2 linked regions of the Pelodiscus sinensis genome follow. The protein of the gene in region 1 purifies or fractionates together with the protein of each later gene. This does not show direct contact. Links are inferred from orthologs where the notes say so. Each region holds a gene or a part of one and is shown on either strand. Other genes may lie near its edges. The genes, in order: GJA1 and UBQLN4.

The links.
Region 2: the proteins of GJA1 (region 1) and UBQLN4 purify together in Homo sapiens (affinity purification with western blotting; 3 studies listed by BioGRID). This does not show direct contact. The link is inferred for Pelodiscus sinensis from reciprocal best matches to the Homo sapiens genes GJA1 and UBQLN4.

What each region holds. Positions count from the first base shown.
Region 1 is NC_134713.1:86,758,569-86,768,144, reverse strand, and holds the start of GJA1 (gap junction alpha-1 protein), read right to left. Parts: upstream 4,020-9,576; 5' UTR 3,792-4,019; intron 1-3,791. UniProt on the Homo sapiens protein: Gap junction protein that acts as a regulator of bladder capacity. A gap junction consists of a cluster of closely packed pairs of transmembrane channels, the connexons, through which materials of low MW diffuse from one cell to a neighboring cell.
Region 2 is NC_134734.1:16,812,351-16,822,837, reverse strand, and holds the start of UBQLN4 (ubiquilin-4), read right to left. Parts: upstream 3,793-10,487; 5' UTR 3,744-3,792; coding exon 3,588-3,743; intron 1-3,587. Other genes in the region: ragulator complex protein LAMTOR2, read left to right, coding at 9,178-9,245. UniProt on the Homo sapiens protein: Regulator of protein degradation that mediates the proteasomal targeting of misfolded, mislocalized or accumulated proteins.

The sequences.
Region 1 (9,576 bases):
ACAGTATGATATACTCCAGTTTTGACTGATTTAATTCCACACCTGCTGTATTTTTAGAACGTATTGCCTTGTTTCAGCATCCAAAATTGTTAAGTTCCATTATGTCCTCTGGCAATACAAACTCCAGGAGGACACATTCCTTGCTTGAATTACTCATACATAGTTTTGAAACACAAACTTTTTTATAAAGAGATCAGTTACCCTCTAGCATTTGCCAGTGATAAAACACCTACATCAGTTCATAACATTGTGCTGTTAAGCAGACAACCTTGAAATGGCACAAACATATTATTCCTTTGCTTAAGTAGAGACTATTGTTTTATGAAAACCAGTGTTTCAATTTGTCACAGAGAAAATTCATTGAGTGGATCTAAGCTGTTACTTTCAGTGTACTAAAAGAGCATTTTTATTAACTAATGTATACTATGTTACTAGATATTATAAAAGTTTAACTTTATTTCTGGAAGGAACGATTATGCAAATGTTCTTGCTGCTTTTACATTGCTTTAAAACTGAAGATCTCCTTTAGTGTGTAGCTCCTAATATCTCTTACCTTTTATGATTTAGACTGCTTTTAGCAATAGCATCCTAATGAAATGCTTGCATCATATTACAAGGACTGATAAAATTACTAGTTAGACCTTCCTCCTCCCCACGTTCAGCAAGGTACTTAAGCATGGGCTTGGTGTTACCCAAGTAGCCGAAGTTCTTACTCATTGCTATTTTATATGATGATATAGCTTCTATTTAGATGGCTAATACTAAACCTGGCCTGTAAAGCAATTTAGTAGATACATGTCTTCTCAATTCTACTATGTGTGTGTGTGTGTGTGTGTGTGTGTGTACTGAGTAAATGATGCACAGAAGAAAGAAATATGATAATACTCATCTGTATGTGCATGGGACAGCCACATGTAACAGAAATTGGATCTATACAACACAATAGAGAAATTGGAAAAAAAATTGTATGGAAGGCATTCACACTGTGTCTTGTGGGTCATATTTTCCAGGAGAGATAGGGTAGTCTGAGGTACCCTGCTACACCGTTTAAGTCTGACTGCAGTGTCCATAGAGCACATGGTAATGAGTGAATCAGGCACAGGACTGTAGCGCTCATAGTGTGTGGGATCTGAAATGAGGCTGCAAGAGTGATTAGGAAATGAGCCAAGATCTCTGGCCCTCCCATACACCCCCAAAAAACCCTGCCCTTGAAATACAAGTAGAAATAAATAACAAAACTGATCTTTTGAGAGGGTCCCTGCCACTTGAGCACTGAGCACCATGACCCTTTTCCAAGAGCAGCCAGCTGCTGAGGAAAAGGCACTAAAATGCCCAAAACTTGGGGTTGTGGTTTTTTAATGTTAAATGTATGCAGTCTCATAAAAGTTAAGGAAATGGTACTCTTACAGTCCACTGGAAAGATAGAGTCCACCTCTAGGTCTTTAGATACACTTCAAGGATAGAAAACTTCACTTACAAGACAGAGAGGGCATCCTAAATGGTCACACAGTAATCAGTGCTTAATAGTCATTGCTGGTGTTGATTTGTTTTCTTTTCTAAGCTCCGAGCGTTCATGACCATGCATGGATCCTCTCCTTAAGCTTTAGAGGCACTTTTTCCAGGTATCTCATTCTTTCTACCCAATCTATCTTTATGGAGCTTTACCGGAGGACCGAGCACGAGACAGGAAAAAATAACTCCATGAGAACTTCCAGTTGTACAAGTCAGGTCTCCAGATGATGAAATCCCTTAACAACCTATGAACCATGCACCCATGTTTTTGTTCAAATTCATCCATGATATAAGTGACTACAAATTCCTTTGAAATCATGAAATCTCTATCCACTTACTCTAATTATGAATTTGGTGCTTTATGTTTAACATGTATAAGTTTTCTGAAAAGAAAATATGATATAAATGTGTATCCAGATGCCTAGATTCAAGGGGCAAAGAGAATATTATTTGTTTCACTAGGAACACAATCCAAACTTTCAATCACACAAGCAGAGCCATGCACAGATACAAAATTTGCATCCACATCTGTATCCACAAAAATGAACTGTGGATATCTGCATCCACATCTGCAGATATGGTACCTGTGGATATAAAGCAAATATCCACAAATTTTCAGGGTTCTAGATACAAAATGTGTATCCACATCTGCACTCCTGTCCACAGAACAGAGCCGTGTATATCCACAGATATAAAGCAGATAACCATTAATTTGCAGGTTTCTACACACAAGTGTCTTTTTACCTAAACAGAAGTTCATTTGATTTCAATATCAGACTATATTCATTTTTCAGACTAGATAGAAATGAGATCTGAAAGCACTTTACAATATGTATTGGGTATACTGTGTATATACATATTTTGCTACAAATGCACTGCATCCTTCCTTTCCCCCTTTTGAACTCAGCCTGTTGCACATCCTTCTCATATTTGTATGTTTGTTAGGTGTCATGGGTCAGTGCCAATGTTCAGCTTTGAAGGTTTTGAGGGAAACACTTCTGTAAACATTTCAAAGTCAAGAGACTTCAGGAGTTCTATAGTGCAGTGTATGCTGTCCAGATGTTAAGATGGCAAGATGAAAGGCGCTGTGCAAGTTCCCTCCACATGCACAGACAGAGAAATTGGAGACATGAGTAGTTGCTCAGATCTGTTTTGTTGTTCATTTTTAATGAGACTCACTTAGAAGACTCTCCGTGAACATTCTGCTAGGAAAACTACCCCAAACTTCTGGGCAAGTAAGTTGTATTATGTAAGATGGGGGAAATCCTAGCTGGGCACAATAAAACACAATTGTGATGCCCCATTGAAGCCCATTCTTCACCCCCCTCATTTTGTTCTTTAATTATTGGCAAGAACCCGGAAAACAGCAATAAAGAATCAAGCCAGAGTCTTGCAATCTGCTTTAGACAAGGGTCAGTTCTGTGAAAGATGCTGCCCAAGAATTCCGTTCCTCTGCGGTCCTTTATTATGGTTCTCAAGGCAGATTATAGGAAATGTATCATGACATATTGGGACTATTCTCAGACTGCTTCCCTTAAAGAACTTTCACAGGCATTGCCAGCGTGGTGAGCGGATGTCTGAGTGCTGCATGATTCTTCTAAAATCCCTAACTGTGTTACTAACACAGAGTAACTATATACAAAATGTCTTTAAAAAAATCTTTAACATGTCTGGATTTTATCACATTCATTTAAAAGAAGGGAGAAAATGTTCAGCAAGGCCAGGTGAAAGTCACCAGATTAGTAGCAGCAGCAGCATTTTAACAAAACAACCAATTAAGACCCTAGCTTTGCATAAACTATTAAACATCAATCAAGATTTCCATATGAAAGCAAAATGTGTGGGAGACAAATGGAAAACACTTAGGATAGGAGCTCTCTGTTATTAACTTCTGAGACCTTTTCAGTAGAACAAGGGATTCCAGAACTTTGAAATTATTATTTTTCTTAAACTAGCAAATATAGACCTAGATAATTGTGAACATTGATTTTTTTTACCAAAATCAAATAAAGAGGCTCATAATCCCATGGTGCAGATGATGTTTTGCCATCGTTTACCTGTTACAGAATCAGGTTATTAGTTGAAAATTAAAATTATTTAGAGAAATGTTTAAAATATAACAAAAACAAACAAACAATCCCCAAAAATGTTAATCTCCAGAAATGGATAAATTTTAAACATGTTTTGCTGTTTTTTACAGTTTGCTTTAAATATTCCAATAATGAGGAAAACAATAGAAAACTCCTGAAATCAAACAAAGTAAAAACTTTCCAACTTACCCTTGCTGATGATCAGTGAAGCAAGCAAACAAGTGCCTCTTTGGAAGAACAAGCTAAAATGGAAAAGCAAGTTCAGGCTTTCGACCTGTCTATTTAAACTTTAAAAGTCTACTGCTGTTTTGTAGTTTTCATCCTTCCTTGCCCACTAATGAAAGAAAAGTGCTGATACCTTGTAAAAAGTTTTTTTCTAACTTTGAACACTGGGAGAGCTTTTAACAAGCCACTACAGGGAGGAGGGGAGAGGAGGGAAAGTCAGGGAATGGGGAGGAGAAAAGGGGGAGGAGGAAAAGCAAGAAGAGACAGCAGAAAACTTTATGGAATAAAGGAAAGAGAACTGAGCATATTGAAGTTGAACAAATGAAGGATCATTCCGTAAGGAGAGTTGAGATATTCTAAATGATACACTGAGTGGTAGTTTATTCAGAACCGAACTCAGAGTTACCTGAGACAAATGAGATGGTTTAACTTTCTTAAGATGTTTGAAGTCTTTGGAAAGGGAACAGAGAGTAAAAAATCAGTTTGTAACCTGAACCATCCTGCCAGGCTCTGCATTGGGATACACGGTTTTGCCTTCTCATTCCCCTCCCTGTGGAGTGGCAGTCACAACATGAGAAGTTTATATTCTCTTCTTTGCATATCTTTAGTTTACTTGCTCTATTTCCCTGAGGTGCTCAACAGAAAGCAACAGTGTGTTTGTTAATGTACTTTTCATACCTGTGGGTGCCTCAGAAGATAACACAGCACATGATTTTTTGGTGAAGGTTTCTGAGAAGCAGCGAACTTATATTCCAGAAAACTCATGCCATGAAGTTTCAGTACAACACCCAAAATATAATGCAGGGCATTCAGTCTCAAATAGTGAGCAGCACTGAGTAGTCACAGTATTTCAGTCCATGTCACTAAATGTACACAAGAAAAAAAAAAGTCCCTTCCAATTGGATTGAAGCCAAACTGACTTTTGCCCTGATCTGAATGAAATAAACCCTCTTACAACAAACGTGTTCTCTGTAAAACACAGCTGAATTTTATACCATCTATTGTGGTGAGGATTCTCAGACACAGAGTTGAACAAGTGTCCATATGAACTGGGCATTACATAAGGAACTGTATTTGTATTTTTCAAACCAGGTGGTATTGACTTTTTAACTTCCCAAGCCTGGGCAATAACTAGGTTAGTTTAGCAGCTACTCCAACAGCTCCCACTGGTTGGACAGCTTCCCATGACCATTCTTCTGTGATGGTGTACAGCTAGGTGTTTAGCAAGTTCATTTGGGGTCATAATCCTCAGGAAAGGGTATTTCTGGACTCGCTCAGGGTTAGCAGCGTCCAATCTCACTTAAGAGGCTAATATCAGGGAGGAGGTAAAATGATACCCATTTTGGTGTTCGTCACTGATTTTGAGTAAAATTCACCTACTCATCTTCTTGGAACTATTGATGTCAAATTATGTAAGGCTAAGTATAATATATAATAATATACAATATCATAGTCTTTTGCTTAGCTCTTACATAGTACTTTTCACCCACCACCCTCAAAGTACTTTATAGATCAAGGTAAGTATTGTTACTCCATCGGGGAAAGTAAGGCAAAGATGGACACACAGCTGTCTAGTGGGAAGACTGGCAAAAGAACCTAAATATCCTGATGCACAGGCCAGGGTCCACTCTGTCTCCTGTTTTTAAAAGATAGTATAGGGATTATGCATACATCCCAAAACACTTATTTCTTTTGCTACAGCCTGATCACAGCAACCCAAGTTCGCAGTGCAGCCATACAACAAATATAAGCACAACAGTAAATATAAGCACTATAGGGAAAATAAATTTGGTAATAATAGTCAATGTAATCTTTGGTACTTCCCTCTGAAAGGCAAGAGTGTTCTGTTTCAAACATCCAACAGGACATTGTAAAGAAAGAAGAAAGATGACAATTATGACAATTATTATTATTACTCTATGGCAAATTCCTTGCCAAGGTCTCCCTAAAAATTAAACATGACTGTCACTGAATTCATGTATCACAATTTGATTTTACCACCTCTGTCTTTGTAAAAGCGCCAGAGTTCCAGTCTTGTCTTTATTTGTGTGAGGAAGTAAATTAACTTTTTCAAACCAAATGAACATTTTCACACAGCTGCTTTTCAGACAGGCTCCTTAGTGTTCAACAGAAATTTTTCAGAATTGTGATATTTATATGTCTGTTCCTAACTGAGAAGGACAAGGAGGTGGATGAAAATAAGGACTTGGGCTCTCCCATGGAAATTTGCTGTTCTTGATCTGAAAGATCCTTCATTTTTTGAATGAACTCTTAAAGCACAGCACTCCTTGGGGCCAGTATTGCTATCTGATGGTTTTGAATTGTGAAGCAAAAGTTATGAGGCCAAGAAGCAACGCTTGAGCAGCATTCTATTTCTGTGAACATGTGTGGGTTTGAGCTGGCAGGCTAGAATTCAACTAGTGCAGGCAAGTTTCAGGTTCCTACCCAAACTTTTTATATTCCTCAGCTTCTTTAGTCATTGTGACTAAAACTCCAAGTCGGTATTTGATTTTCTGTTCAGTCATAATAGGATTTATATCCTTTGTATTAGGGAAGTAGTTCAGAGACTACACTTTTGTTTCAATTTTTTCTGACCAGAACTCAGATATATTTTGACAGTTTAGTTAATATTTATTGTCTTTAATACAGCATTCAGTCCGGTATTCTTTTTTTCTATTTATTACACACACATATCATAGTATAGTGCCCATGTGTACATCTAAACAAAGGCTTTATTCTGCATGCTGCCATTTTTTTAATCCTCCAGTTCACTGGGAAAGGCTAAATAGCTGAGTTTCATTTGAAATATAGCATTAATATGTTGGTATCCGGTCCCTGATGTTGAAATCTGTGCATACAGATTGGTGGGCGTTACAGAGGCCACATTTCCGATTGACTTCTAAGACCCACTCACAGCAAAGGGGTGTCACTAATCTATTAGTGCTCTGAAAGCACAGCACATTCTTAGCTTCAATCTGAGCATAAGTGTGTTGACTGCAAATCTCACTTCACTCTGCTTCCTTGTGCTGCTCAGCTCTCCTTTACTGCAGTTCCAAGAGTGAGGCCAATCAATGCAAAGTGCACTCAGCTGGGAACACATGCAGGGATTGTCTTAGGTGCTTTACAAGAGAATTAGGCCTCTAACCAGGAAGGTAACTTAACTAGGACCCTAGATGACCAATATGAGCAGCAAATTTTTACCATCATTCTTTGTTGTGTGCTTAGGGTTTATTGGTCTGGACTGTCCAATGTCTTGCTGGTAAAAGGTTGGGCACTCAGAATACACATTACCATAACTGTGATAGTTCTTGCTTATCTTAGTGCTTGAATGTGCAGCCTTAAGATTCTTTTAGAATAGTGGTGGTTTGTTCTTATATTGTAAAATTAACAAAAGTAGTACCAAGAAGAATTATATTCTTCATAGCTTTGAAGTTCTGCATTTGTCCAACAAATCAGCCATAACTCTGGTAATTTCCATAATCTAGGACTACATGGCTAGAAGATCTTATCTCGTACAATTTCAGACTGCAGAAGGAAACACCAAAAACATACATCCCGGGAATTTCAAAGGGTCTTAACTTGGACAAATAAAAGCTAAATGTCTTTGGATTGTAAACCCTGGGGACATGGATTATCTCTTTTCTATGCTTGTCCAGATCCCAGGGGCCCCAAATTGGAGTGAGACCTTTGGGTGCTACTTTTATATAAACATTTACTGAGAATGAATGTTTTCTTCAGAAGATTTCTTCTTAGTAAACATTATTGCCCTTCCTTTCCACCCTCAGCTGTTGTGACTGCAGGGATGTTCAAAACAGGTAGTAGTAGTCTTTTCTAATTAGAAAAGATGTTTTTTGACTCTCCTTTTACTCAAAATATGCTGAACTATTTTTGATCAACTATTACAATAAAGGGGAAAAAAGATATTGGGAGAGAATTTCAGCTGAAGGTTTCCAAAAGTGAGAAAGGACTAAAACCAGAATCTATTATTCAACTTTAACTGTAAAAATCACAGTCACTTCTGCTGTAATATTTTGTGATTCTAGCCTGCCATCTACCTAGGATCTCAGAGTGTGCTACAAACATCAATGAAAGTTAAGCCTTACTCTACTCCTATAAACTATGTCGTAGAAAGCATTTTAAAATATAAGGAAACTGAAGCTGGGAGAAGTTAAGTAGCTTACCCATGGCCACACATGTAGCCATTGGCAGAGACAGAATAAGAACTGGGATCTATTAACTCCCAGTCTTGAATTGTAAGTACTTCACCTCTCTCTAGTCTTTCTGCACTACTGTGTAAGCAGTAAGAACAATTAAATTCAGGTTTTAAAAAAATACAGCAGATGTTACTGAAGTCAATAGAAGTTTGATGTGAGGACAGGCTTTAGCAGATGTGGCTCTCTTCACCCACTCCCAGTATCACAGCATGCAACTGTGAAGTGCATTCTTCACAGCAGCCCATGAGATGTCACCACTGCCTGATCATGATAATGTACTCAATGTGATTTGCTTACTTCTCATGCCACATTCTGAGACATACTAACTTACCCCAATTTTATTGAGTGGTTTGTGGCAGAAAGCAATGAATTGTGCCTCTAATTCCTATTTACTGTGCTAGCAAAGATAGCAGAAATTAATCAAGAGAGCCTAAAGATTGAAAATTACAGCTCTATTAAAATAAAATAAAATAAAATAAAATAAAATAAAAAATCAGTGTAATTGATTCTGGTTAATATTCCCCCCCCCCCCAACAAAGTACGTTCCATCAAAGCAATTATATAAATTAAAAAGCCAGTCAGAGGAGCATTTCAAGCAGGAAAAGAATGTGTACATAGATCCTTATGAATTTGGCTCCACCTTCTGTACACAGTGAAAATAAACATGAATTAAACTGTGTCTTGAATGCCATTTTAGTCTGGTTTTTTGGTTTTACTTTTCAGTTCAATTTCAAAAGCCTGCCCACTTAGGTCCTCATGCATTTTAGTAAATCTTAATCTCTACATACTGAGACAGAGGTTTTTCAATAATTCCGTTCCAAAAAACAGAATATTTTTTTTATAATTCATTCACTTTAGCAAACTGAAATCAGGGTAGCAACTGGGACTATTTAAAGATGTGTGACCTTTAGATTTTGTATGTGTGGAGGGCAGTTGGCAATCATTCAATTAGTGTATGTTAAAATTTTGCATAGACTGTGAAGTGCTTACTTACATCAGCAAGTAGGTGTTCACATTTGTAATCCCACTGAATTTATTAGGACTCTACCCACGAGTCACTGCTCACTATAGTAAGCAAGGGCTCCACAGTTGGAATCCTAACTAGAATCTTATGTATGAATAAAAGGAAAAGAGGCTGAAAACCCCTAAAGTTTTAGCTGTTTTTGAATTCATTTAAAAAATGTTTTCATTGTAATTTGAATGCTCTTATAATTTGACATTCAATTAGACAGCACAATAATGTGCATGCCCATAGTAGTTATTATACATGAAATGATTAAAATATAAATTAAAATATAAAATATAAATAATAATACTTACCATAGCATTTAAATAGCTGTTTTTTTCTTCAATGATTGCAAATATTAATTAGTATCTGGTAACAACAATATCTACAATACCTCACAGGGTTGGGTTGGGAAATCTGTTACAGTGTTAACAACATGCCAGGGGAAGAGAATCTAAGAGGCCTGTTTATTTTCACCCTGATTTTAGAATTTCCTGGGTATTCTCAGTTTTATTGCAGTTTTCCCAAG
Region 2 (10,487 bases), on another chromosome or scaffold:
CCATCTAGTTCATCCTTGACAAATTTTTGCCTAACCTCCTCTTAAATATCTGTAATCATGGAGATTCCACCACTCCTTCCGCAATTTATTCCAGTGCTTACCCACCCTGACAATTAGGAAGATTTTCCTAATGTCCAACCTAATCCTCCCTTGCTGCAATTTAAGCCCATTGCTTCTTGTCCTGTCCTTAGAGGTTAAGGAAAATATTTTTTCCCTCCTACTTGTAACCTTTGATGACCTTTTAGGTACCTGAAATCTGTTATCATGTTCCCTCTTCTCTTTTCCAAACTAAACAAACCCAATTATTTCAGTCTTTCCTCATCAGTCATGTTTTCTAGACCCTTCATCATTTTTGTTGCTCTTCTCTGCACCTTCTCCAATTTGTCCACATCTTTCCTGAAATGTGATGCCCAGATTAGGCCTCAACTGAAATATTGTGCCCAAAGAGCACACAGCAGAGCAGAAGAATTACTTTTCGTGTCTTGCTTAAGACATGAGAACTTACTCTTGTTTACGTGCAAAGGTCTGAAAGCAGTGATTTTAAACTGTCTAAACGTCTGCAGCAGAACATCAGTCTCACTACCCAGACAGTACCAATAGCTGACAAAACTTCCCCACCTGAAGGATGCCAAGAAGGTGTCAGTTCACTCACCAACTGCTGGGGTGGGATGTCTAAGCTGTTTAACAGGAATAAGAATCCTGCATCCACCTGGCAAGCATAGGTCAGACTTCAGGAAGGGGCAGGGAAAGAGCCACAGCACAATTACCTCAAACAGAAAGGAGGGCTAACAAAGCCAGATCAGTTACCCCTTTTTGATCTCATCCAGCAACACAGTTTATCCTTTGCATGTCTACAGCTTTTTTGTGTCTTTCTCCTTTTCAAGTTTATAAAGGGAAAGCCAGCTTTTGAGTGATTTTAAAACAGGGAAAAGCGCTGAAAACCTGGGAACAACGGTGCAATAGCCAGGGGAAATAGACTAAATGAAGTCTTTCCTTGGTCTAACTTCTACCATTCTATTTCTTTCAGGGTATGTCTAGACTACAGGGTTTTGTCCACAGATACTGTCGACAAAGCTTCTGTCGACAAAGAGCGTCTAGACTACATCCAGTTCTGTCGACAAAGCAAGCCGCTTTGTCGACATGACAGTGTGGACGCAAAGGACAGTGTAGATGCAATAATGCCTTCTATCGACAGAACTCTGGTGACAAAAGGTGTTATTCCTCGTAGAATGAGGTTTACATACGTCGACAAAACTGCTGAGTTTTGTCGACGTTATGTCGACATAACTCAAAGGCAGTGTGGACGCAGGTATAGTTTCGACAAAAGTCCACTTTTGTCGACAAAACCCTGTAGTCTAGACACACCCTCAGTGTGCTATACCTTATAACAGGGGTGGGGAACCTAAGGCCAGCTTTTCTGAAGCCGGCCCGAGGCTCAACGCTCCCCCCAGCATTGGGGAGCTCATGCTGCTGCTCCAGCCCCACCCTATCTTCTCATCACAGGGCTGGGGCACAAAATCTACTAGCCTGGGCCCCCTAGGCTACATCTACATTGGCAAGATTTTGCGCTAATACTTTTAACGCAAGAGTTTTTGCGTTAAAGTATTTGCGCAAGAGAACGTCTACACTGGCACGTGCTTTTGCGCAAGAGATGTACTTTTGCCCAAAAGCATCCGTGCCAGTGTAGACGCTCTCTTGTGCAAGAAAGCTCCGATGGCCATTTTAGCCATCGGGCTTTCTTGCGCAAGAAATTAATGTTGCCTGGCCACTTGCGCAAGAGGGCTTATACCTGAGCAGGAGCGTCATAGTTCTTGCGCAAGAAGCACTGATTTCTTACATTAGAACATCAGTGTTCTTGCGCAAGAACTCGTAGCCAGTGTAGATAGGCGGCAAGTTTTTGCACAAAATCTTGCCAATGTAGACACAGCCCTAGTGTGTGAGGAGAATGTGAAGAGTCTCTCTCTCATCAGTCAGGGGTCAGGTCAGTGACATTTTCTTTTCTTCTCAGTTGTGTGCAGCCCCCGATTGATTTTTCTGGGGTCAGCGGCTCCCCCCCCCCCACAAAAGGTTCCCCACTCCTGCCTTGGAACATGATCTGACCACTACCCAGCCCCTGAGCTCGACTCCAATGACCACAAGGGTGCGAAGCCAGCAAGGACACCCAGCTAAAATCGCATCCCTCATACCCACCTCTGAATGCAACATTCCCTTAATGCAGGGGAGGGGAACTTTTTTGGGTCGGGGGCTGCTGACCCACAGAAAAAACAGTCAGGGGCTGCACACAGGTAAGAAGGAGAAAAAACACTCCCCATGTTCCCCTTGCACATCAGAGCCTAGGGGACCCAGGCTAGTAGATTTTGTGTGCTCCAACCTGCAAATGGCAGGGGGGTTGGAGCACAAGCAGGGGCTCCCCAATGCTGAGCCTGGGGGCCAGATCCATGCAAGCTGGGGGCCACATTCGGCCCCCAACGCCTGACATTCCCCACCCCTGCCTTAATACCTCATTGGTACTGAGGGGCTGGTAAGAACTGAATGCTTAGGAGCCGGGGTACCAAAGGGACCAGACAGGGACTTTGCTCCAATCATCACATCCACTAAGCCTTGAACTCAGTTGCCACATCCTGCAACAGAAACCAACAAAGGTTGCCACAGCCTCTGCTGCCACAAGCAGCGCCAGGGATACTTTGCCCTGGTGCCATGACCACGTTTCTGCAACACCGACGGTTCCCTCTAAATCCACTCACAACTGCACGTGGTGCCCTAAATCCCACTCCAGCCCCCAGATGCACCTGAATTAGAGATGTAAAGGGGTAACCAGTTAACCAGTAAGCTTTGCTTTGCTGGCACACTTACTTACTAGTTAACCGGCGCCCAGCTCACCAGCCCACAGGCAGGGGGCTGCTCGGGCCCAGCAGAGCCAGAGCATCCCCATGGCACAGCAGGAGCTGGAGCAGCCCCTGTTCACCGGTTCCACATACCGATTAACATTTTAAACAGGACTTTACATCCCTTATCTGGACCCCAGGCTCTCTCCTCCAAACCTTACCCATCAGCCCAGGTAAACCCGTCCCAAGATCCTCCCTCCTCCTCCACTGCCCAAGCTGTGATTCCACCCTGCTCCCTGGCTCCCACTCACACGGCTCGTACCTAGAACCCATGTCTCAGCCCAGCCCCGTCTCTCGGGTCCACCCCTCCAGACTCGGTCCCCCCCAGCTTCCCTAATCCAGATCCCGCCCCCCCCCCGGCCCTTTCACTAACCCCTCCCCTATTCGCTCCCCAGCTTCACATGCCCCGGGCCATTCAACCTCCGACCTCCCCCGGCCCCACCCCCCCCAAGCGCAGCCGGGTCTCCGGCCCAGTCCCACTTCCCGCCCGAAGCCCCCGACCCCACACGCAGCCCCCCACCGCCCCGCCCCGGCAAACGCAGCCCGCGGCCCCCCCACCATGCAGCCGCTTGTCCACGGCTCTCTGCCCCACACGCAGCCCCCCGGGCCCGGCCCGCCTCCCCCTCCCCCCACACGCAGCGCCCAGCCGCCCTCAGCCCCCCCGGCCCCTCCCCCCACACGCAGCCCCCTGCCCGGCCCCACCTCCCGCACGGAGGCGCCGTCCCCGATGACGATCTCCTCCTTGTCCTTGGGGGTCTTCACCGTGACGCGGATGAGGAGCCCGCCGGGCGCGGGGCCGCCCAGCTCCGCCTCGCCCTCCCCGCCGGGGCCCGGGCCGCCGCCGCTCAGCTCCGCCATCTTCGCCGCCCGCCCCAGCCAGCCAGCCCGCCCCGGCAGCCGGCGTGGGGAGAGCGGCGCCCCGGCCGCGGCGGCGGGGAGAGGCCGGCGCACAGCGCCCCCGCCTGGCTCGGCGGGGAACTGCAGCGGGGGGGGGGGGTGGAGTCGGACTACAGCGAGAACCTGGGGGGGGGCAGAGGTGGGTGTGCACCGTGGGATAATCTCGGTGGGAGCGGACCGGGAGGGAGCCCCACGGGGGAGGGGAGTGGACCAGGCGGAGAACTGAAATGCGGGGAGAGCCACGGAGCGGGAACTGCAGGGAAGGCAGGAGCAGCCTCAGACTCACTGTGCAGGGGGCGGAGGGCAGGACAGGGTGACTGGGCGGGTCAGGCGGCGCGGTCTCTCCTTTTGGTTCCCCGTCTGACAGCCAACAGAATAGACTGGGGTGGTGTCCCTTTAAAAGGAGAAGAGAGAGAATGTTGGTATGAGAGGGTTCCCTGGCAGCTGCGGATGGAATGTTGGTATGTGAGGGTTCCGTGGTAGCTAGGGATGGAACGTCAGGATCAGAAGGTTCTGTGGCAGTTGGAGATGGAATGTCGGGATCAGAGGGTTCCTTGGCAGCTGGGGATGGAATGTCGGGATCAGAGGGTTCCTTGGCAGCTGGGGATGGAACGTCGGGATCAGAGGGTTCCGTGGCAGCTGGGGATGGAATGTGGGGATCCGAGGATTCTGTGATAGTTGAGGATGGAATGTCAGGTTCAGGGGGTTCTGTGGCAGCTGGGGATGGAATGTCAGGATCAGAGGGTTCCGTGGTAGTTGGGGATGGAATGTCAGGTTCAGGGGGTTCTGTGGCAGCTGGGGATGGAATGTCAGGATCAGAGGGTTCCGTGGTAGTTGGGGATGGAATGGTGGTATCAGAGGGCTCTGTGGTAGGTAACTGGGGATGGGAGGCTTTGTTTCAGAGGGATGGAAAGTTGGTATCAGACAGGGAAAACGTAAGAATGGTCACACTGGGTCATACCAAAGATCCAGCTAGCCATAGGCAATTAGTTATATTGGCCCATTGTGCCTGTGCTCCACCAATACTCAGGAACATGGGCCCAACTCCAGCAACATTTGGGCTGATATTTTGAGAGCCATCCTGTCCATAGGACAGACTGGGACAACTGCCCTCTGCTCTGGAGGGCCCTGTGCTTCTGGGGGATGCACAGACCAGGGCTGCCTGGTGGGCTTATCAGGGGGGCCTGGTACTAGCAGCATTTCCACCCCACCATGCCCCCACTCCACCTTTTCATTCAACCCCCACCCCACTCCTCTTTCCAGCTTCTGTCTCTCCCCTGAGCAATGCCAGGAGCCAGCAAAGTGGGCCAGAGCAGGGAGAGGTCACTTGTTGTTGCCAGTGCCAGGCCCCCCACTAATCCTTCAGGCCACCCTGGACCCCCAAAGCACAGGGCCTGGGATAGTTGCCTCTGGTCCTGATCTTGGGCCCATTCTGAGCACCACTGAAAATTACATCTAGCCCAGTATCCTGTCTTCTGAAAAGGGTTAATGCCAGGTGCCCCAGAGGGAATGAACAGAACAGGGAATCATTAAGTGATCCAGCCCATGTCACTCATTCCCAGCCTCTGATAAACAAAATCCCTGCCTATCCTGGCTAATAGCCAATGATGGACCTACCCTCCATTAATTTATCTAGCTCTTTTTTAAACCCTGTTATAGTCATGGCCTTCACAACATCCTCTAATGAGGAGTTCCACAGGTTGACTGTGCATTTTGTGAAGAAATACTTCCTGTTTGTTTTAAACCTGCTGTCTGTTAATTTCATTTGGTGACCTCTAGTTATTTTGTTATGGGAATGAGTAAACAGCACTTCCTTATTTACTTTCCCCTCAACAGTCATGATTTTATAGACCTCTATCATATTCCCCCTTAGATGTCTCTTTCACAAGCTGAAAAGTCCCACTTTTATTAACCTCTCCTCATTTGGAAGCCATTCCATATCACCAATTCATAGGATACTAGAACTGGAAGAGACCTCAGAAGGTCATCAAGTCCTACACACATGGCTGGACCAAGTATCATCTCATCCCAGATAGATGTTTGTGTTATCTGCTCTTAAAAATCTCTAATGATGGAGATTCCACAACCCCCCTCGGCAATTTATTCCAGTGTTTAACCACCTTGACAGTTAGGAATTTCTTCCTAATGTCCAACCTGAACCTTCTATGCCATTGCTTCTTGTCCTATCATCAAAGGTTAAGGAGAATAATTTTTCTCCTTTCCCTTCTAACAACCCTTTAGGCACTTGAAAGCTGTTATGTTCCCTCTCAGTCTTCTCTTTTCCTGAATAAACAAACCCAGTTCTTTCAGTCTTCCCTCATGGATCATGTTTTTTAGGTATTTAATCATTTTTGTTGTCATATCCACAACATGGAACAAGGTTCTATGACAGCTGAGGATGGAGTGTCAGGATCAAAGGGTTTCATGGGGATAGAATGTGGAGTCAGAGTGTTCTGTAGTAGCTGGTGTTGGAATATTAGGATCAAAAGATTCCGTGGCAATTAGGCTGGGACAGATTGGAAGGGACAGTTCTGAGTGATAGTTGGGAATGGGCATCTGGAGTGAGAAAGAAAGATAGGAATGAAGTGTGGGGAAAACCCTGTCTACACTGAATACAACATCCGTATTCAGAGCTGTGCTAGTAGTTAATTATGGCCAGGGCTCAACAAATAATACAATCTACTTGCCCTTGGTGAGTAGATTGCAACCCGGAAGAGCCAGGTTCGGGTGATCTGCACATGCGCAGATTTCCGGACAGCACGGCTGGCGAGTGGGACTCGCCGTGGTTCGGTGAGCCCTGATTATGGCTATCCAGTCTGTTGTGGATAATGCCTGGGGATATCAGCAGCTGATATAATGTTAGGTTTCAGAGTCATGTTAGTCTGTTTTAGCAAAAACAAAGAGTCCAGTGGCACTTTAAAAACTAACAGATTTATTAGTGTATTAGATTGTATGCTTTCCTGAGTTACAATTCACTTCCTCAGATTCTGAAGAAAGAAAGAAAGAAAAAAAGAAAGAAGCATAAGGAAGATTTATTATTAATTATGTATAATAATAATATTCAAGATCCACCCTGTATGTTTTCTGAGATAGCAACAAAAAGACACCAGAAAAATACACCACTACCTATTAGGCACTGTCTACCACAGCAAAATTAGTGCTCATATTTCAATAACTACAACAAGGGGGCAGTTGGTGCGTGGCTGGTAAAGACAAGGCCTAGTCAGTTCTTCTAATGTGTGTATCAATCTAAGGTCTTTATATGGCCCATTGGCCACCATTATTTTAGTATCTGAGTCCCCTCCAACCTATAGAATATTATCCTGAAAGTAACCCCATGTGAGGCAGTGCTGTGCAGATGCCCCCAGTTTTTACATACAGGGATTGGAGGCATAGGCAGATTAAATGATTTACCCAAGGTCACACAGGAAATCTATGGCAGAGCAGGGAATCCTCAAGTCCCAGTCTAATTAGTGATAAAGTCTGTTGGAAGGAGGGTTCGAAGGCTCCTCCCACACTCCCCCAGGAATGAGCTGTTGCAAAAGAACTATAAAAAGCACTGGAGAGTGCTTGCTAATCTCTGATAGGCAACTAGTCTCTTAATGTAAGTAGCTGTGTGTGAAAGTAACTTAGTTATTTGATTCTTGACCTTTTTTAGGGGTTATCTGTGCTACAAATGTAATTATTGTGGGGCTACAATGTTGTTAAAGCAGCACTTGGGTGAGGGTAATTCTTCTCCCCCAATATTCTTCAACCCCCCTTCTCCGCCAATATTCTTCAGCACTGTCAGTTGGGGGCAGACTTTGGCAAAATGGCTTGGTTTTGCTGGGATACTTAGCTAAACTTAATTAAGTTTAAAATTCTTTGGAGGGGGGACTACAGAGTCTATCTTGCTTCACAATTAGGCCTTTGATGTGTTACTGTAATATGTGTATACCTGGGTCCAGCCCAATGGAGCCTTTTTTTTTTTTTTTTTTTTTTTTTAAACAAATCAGGAGTCCCTATTTGGGGATGAAATGGGATGTATGCTCCTAGAACTCTGAAGGAGGACAACTGCATTTTCATTGTCCTCCTGAACAATGTTCCTTCTCTCTTCCATCCATGTGTGTAGCTTTTTTGTTTTAAGGACAGTGGACAGTCATACATGCCTCAGTGCACATTAAAAAAATTGCTATCTGTGAGTGCTCTGCTAATCAGCTGAGTGATGTTTGAATCTCCCCTGAGTGGCTGTGCAAGTGCCCAGCTTTCAGGGAACACCTGTGGTCATGGTGGTGGAGTGCAAGAAATGTGGCCTTCAGTAACATACTGCATTAGCTTTGCTTCCTAGACTGATAGCTGTCCCTGCATAGATACAGAATTCTCTGTCCTTAAAAGGTACACAGGGCTAAGAAGAAAAAAGTTTCCCAGTTCACTCACGCACCTGCCTATGCTTTTCTTCTACTGCCCCCACAGGGATTGGGGGTACCTGGGGTAGTAGAGAATTTTATAAACAGATGGGACCAGCAATAGGGAAAATGACACTGATAGGGCTGCAGTGTCATCCCTGCCCAAATTATCAAACTCCTGGGTCAGGTCTGCCAGAAGCCATGAGATTGGCTTAAAAATGACAAGATCTTCCAAAAATAACATGTATTTGCTTTTTTTTCCTGAGTCTTTAGATGTCATGCTTATCAGTTTTTCCTCTACAACTGCAATGTCCCCAGACAGTAGGTTGGTGGTTTTGTTTTGAATCACCAGCCTCCTCATATTTGGTGTCTGATTTCCAGCATGAACACCTGAAGTCCTATAGAAGTCAGATAGATATGGAGCTGATGGGTTTTTTGCGGGGGAAAAAAATCTTGTAAATGTGACCTACATATTCCTAAAGGCTCGAAATCCAGCAAGCAAATAAAAAGAACACAAAATTGTTCTAGGGGGCTGACCCGTGGGTCTCTTTCTATCTCTTCCCTTTCTACATGCTTGGCATTTGCAACATGGCAATCGTGAAGTTTAGAAACTTTGTTTTCATGAAAGCTGAGGTTCAACTGACTCCAGCAGCTGGGGATGTTAAAAAGACCCAAAATGTGTGAGTTGTCTGTAGCTTGTATGAAGGTAAATGGTATGTTTCCTGTGGTGTGATTACAGGAGATCACAGTAGTTGTGTGAACTGCTAAGGACTGGGGTCGTTTGGTGTGTAGCACCAGCGGTATGCTAGTCACCCACAAAGAGAAATTGCCCTGCAATCTGTGTGCATGAAATGCCCTGTCTATGCAACAGAACTGGAAAAGAACTACAACTCCCAGCCTGCTGTGGGCTGAAGTCGCCCTGCACGGGTTGATCAGCTGATGGGGAAGCAGGCTCTCTGAGCTGTGTGTGTTTCCACCACTGCAGGGAGGAAAAAGGATCTGTTGCTACCATGCTGCGCCCGAAGGCCCTAACCCAGGTCTTGAGCCAAGCCAACACTGGAGGGGTCCAGAGCACCCTGTGAGTATAAAGGGAGTGGTGGGGGAGAGGAGTGGGCATGGCTGGGTATGGATCAGGGAACCCTGTCCCTGAAGTATTGTGACCAGATCAGTGGTCCCATTAAGGATTAGTGCCCCCTCCTCCAAAGGGTCTTCCCCTCTCCCTACATCTCCCACTTCATGCCCCGGTAGGAACAGAGACATCTTGGTGGCCCCCCACCCAGCTTCAGTTGTGTTGTACAATTCCTTTTCTGAAAAGTGGGGAGGAAGAAGCAGCCCAGTGCACCCTAATAAGGAGTAGTCCCTCCTCAGAGGCATTAGATGTGGATGGGGGGGGGGGGGGGTCAGCATTCCCTGTAAGCTGAGTGCTTGCCTTGGACAGTCACCTAGGAGAGATTCAAATGCTGCCCAGCTGATTAGCAGAACACTTGCAGTGCCCACAGCCAGTAACCTATTTCTGCTGGTGGTGCACATTTGCACATAAATTTTATTTTCCATATGGGTGGAAAAAATTAGAGGGCACATTGATAGGGGTAAAAGGGTCTGGCCAGGACTTCCTCCAGAAGGCATTGTGGGGGACAGGGGATGGGAACTTGGAGAGCAGATTACTAATATTTTCCCTGCTGAAGCCCTGGGGAGAGGTATGTCAGTGAAGTACACTTTGGTGTTGTTGCATGCAGGTAGTCTGTTTTTCTTGCGTAGATCTTCTCTGTGCTGGGTCTGCATGTGGGTAGCCACATGAAGGCAAAGAAATGGGGGCGGGGAACAGTTGCATCTGTATCGCCTGCAAATCCACAGATCACTCTTACAAATGCAGATGTGGATACAAACGTTGAGGCTGTGCCAGGAGTTGTGCTCCCAGCACTGTAGTCTGGTTCACACTGGCACTGTGCTGTAACTTACTGCGCTCAGGGGTTGCGGGGGGGCACCCCTGAGCCAAAAAGTAAAGTGCCAGTGTAGACTTAGCCCGTGCGCACTCTCAGGCTGAGGCTGTATCCAGAGCAGTATCCACAAGACAGTAAAATAAAAAATTTGGGAGGTCCATTCCCCCACAGCCCTCTCTTCCTAGGAGCTGCTGCACCCATGGAAAAAGAGCACCCCTGCTAGAGAGGAAGGATGGTTTGGGGTGTGTAAAGTAAAGCTCTGCCACTGCCTTATCTGCCCTTGGTCTTATCACTTCGCCTTGGATACCCTCTCTAAAATGAGGGTGAGACATGCCTCAGAGGGGATGTCACGAGATTCCGTGTGTGTTCTGTCTGATCAG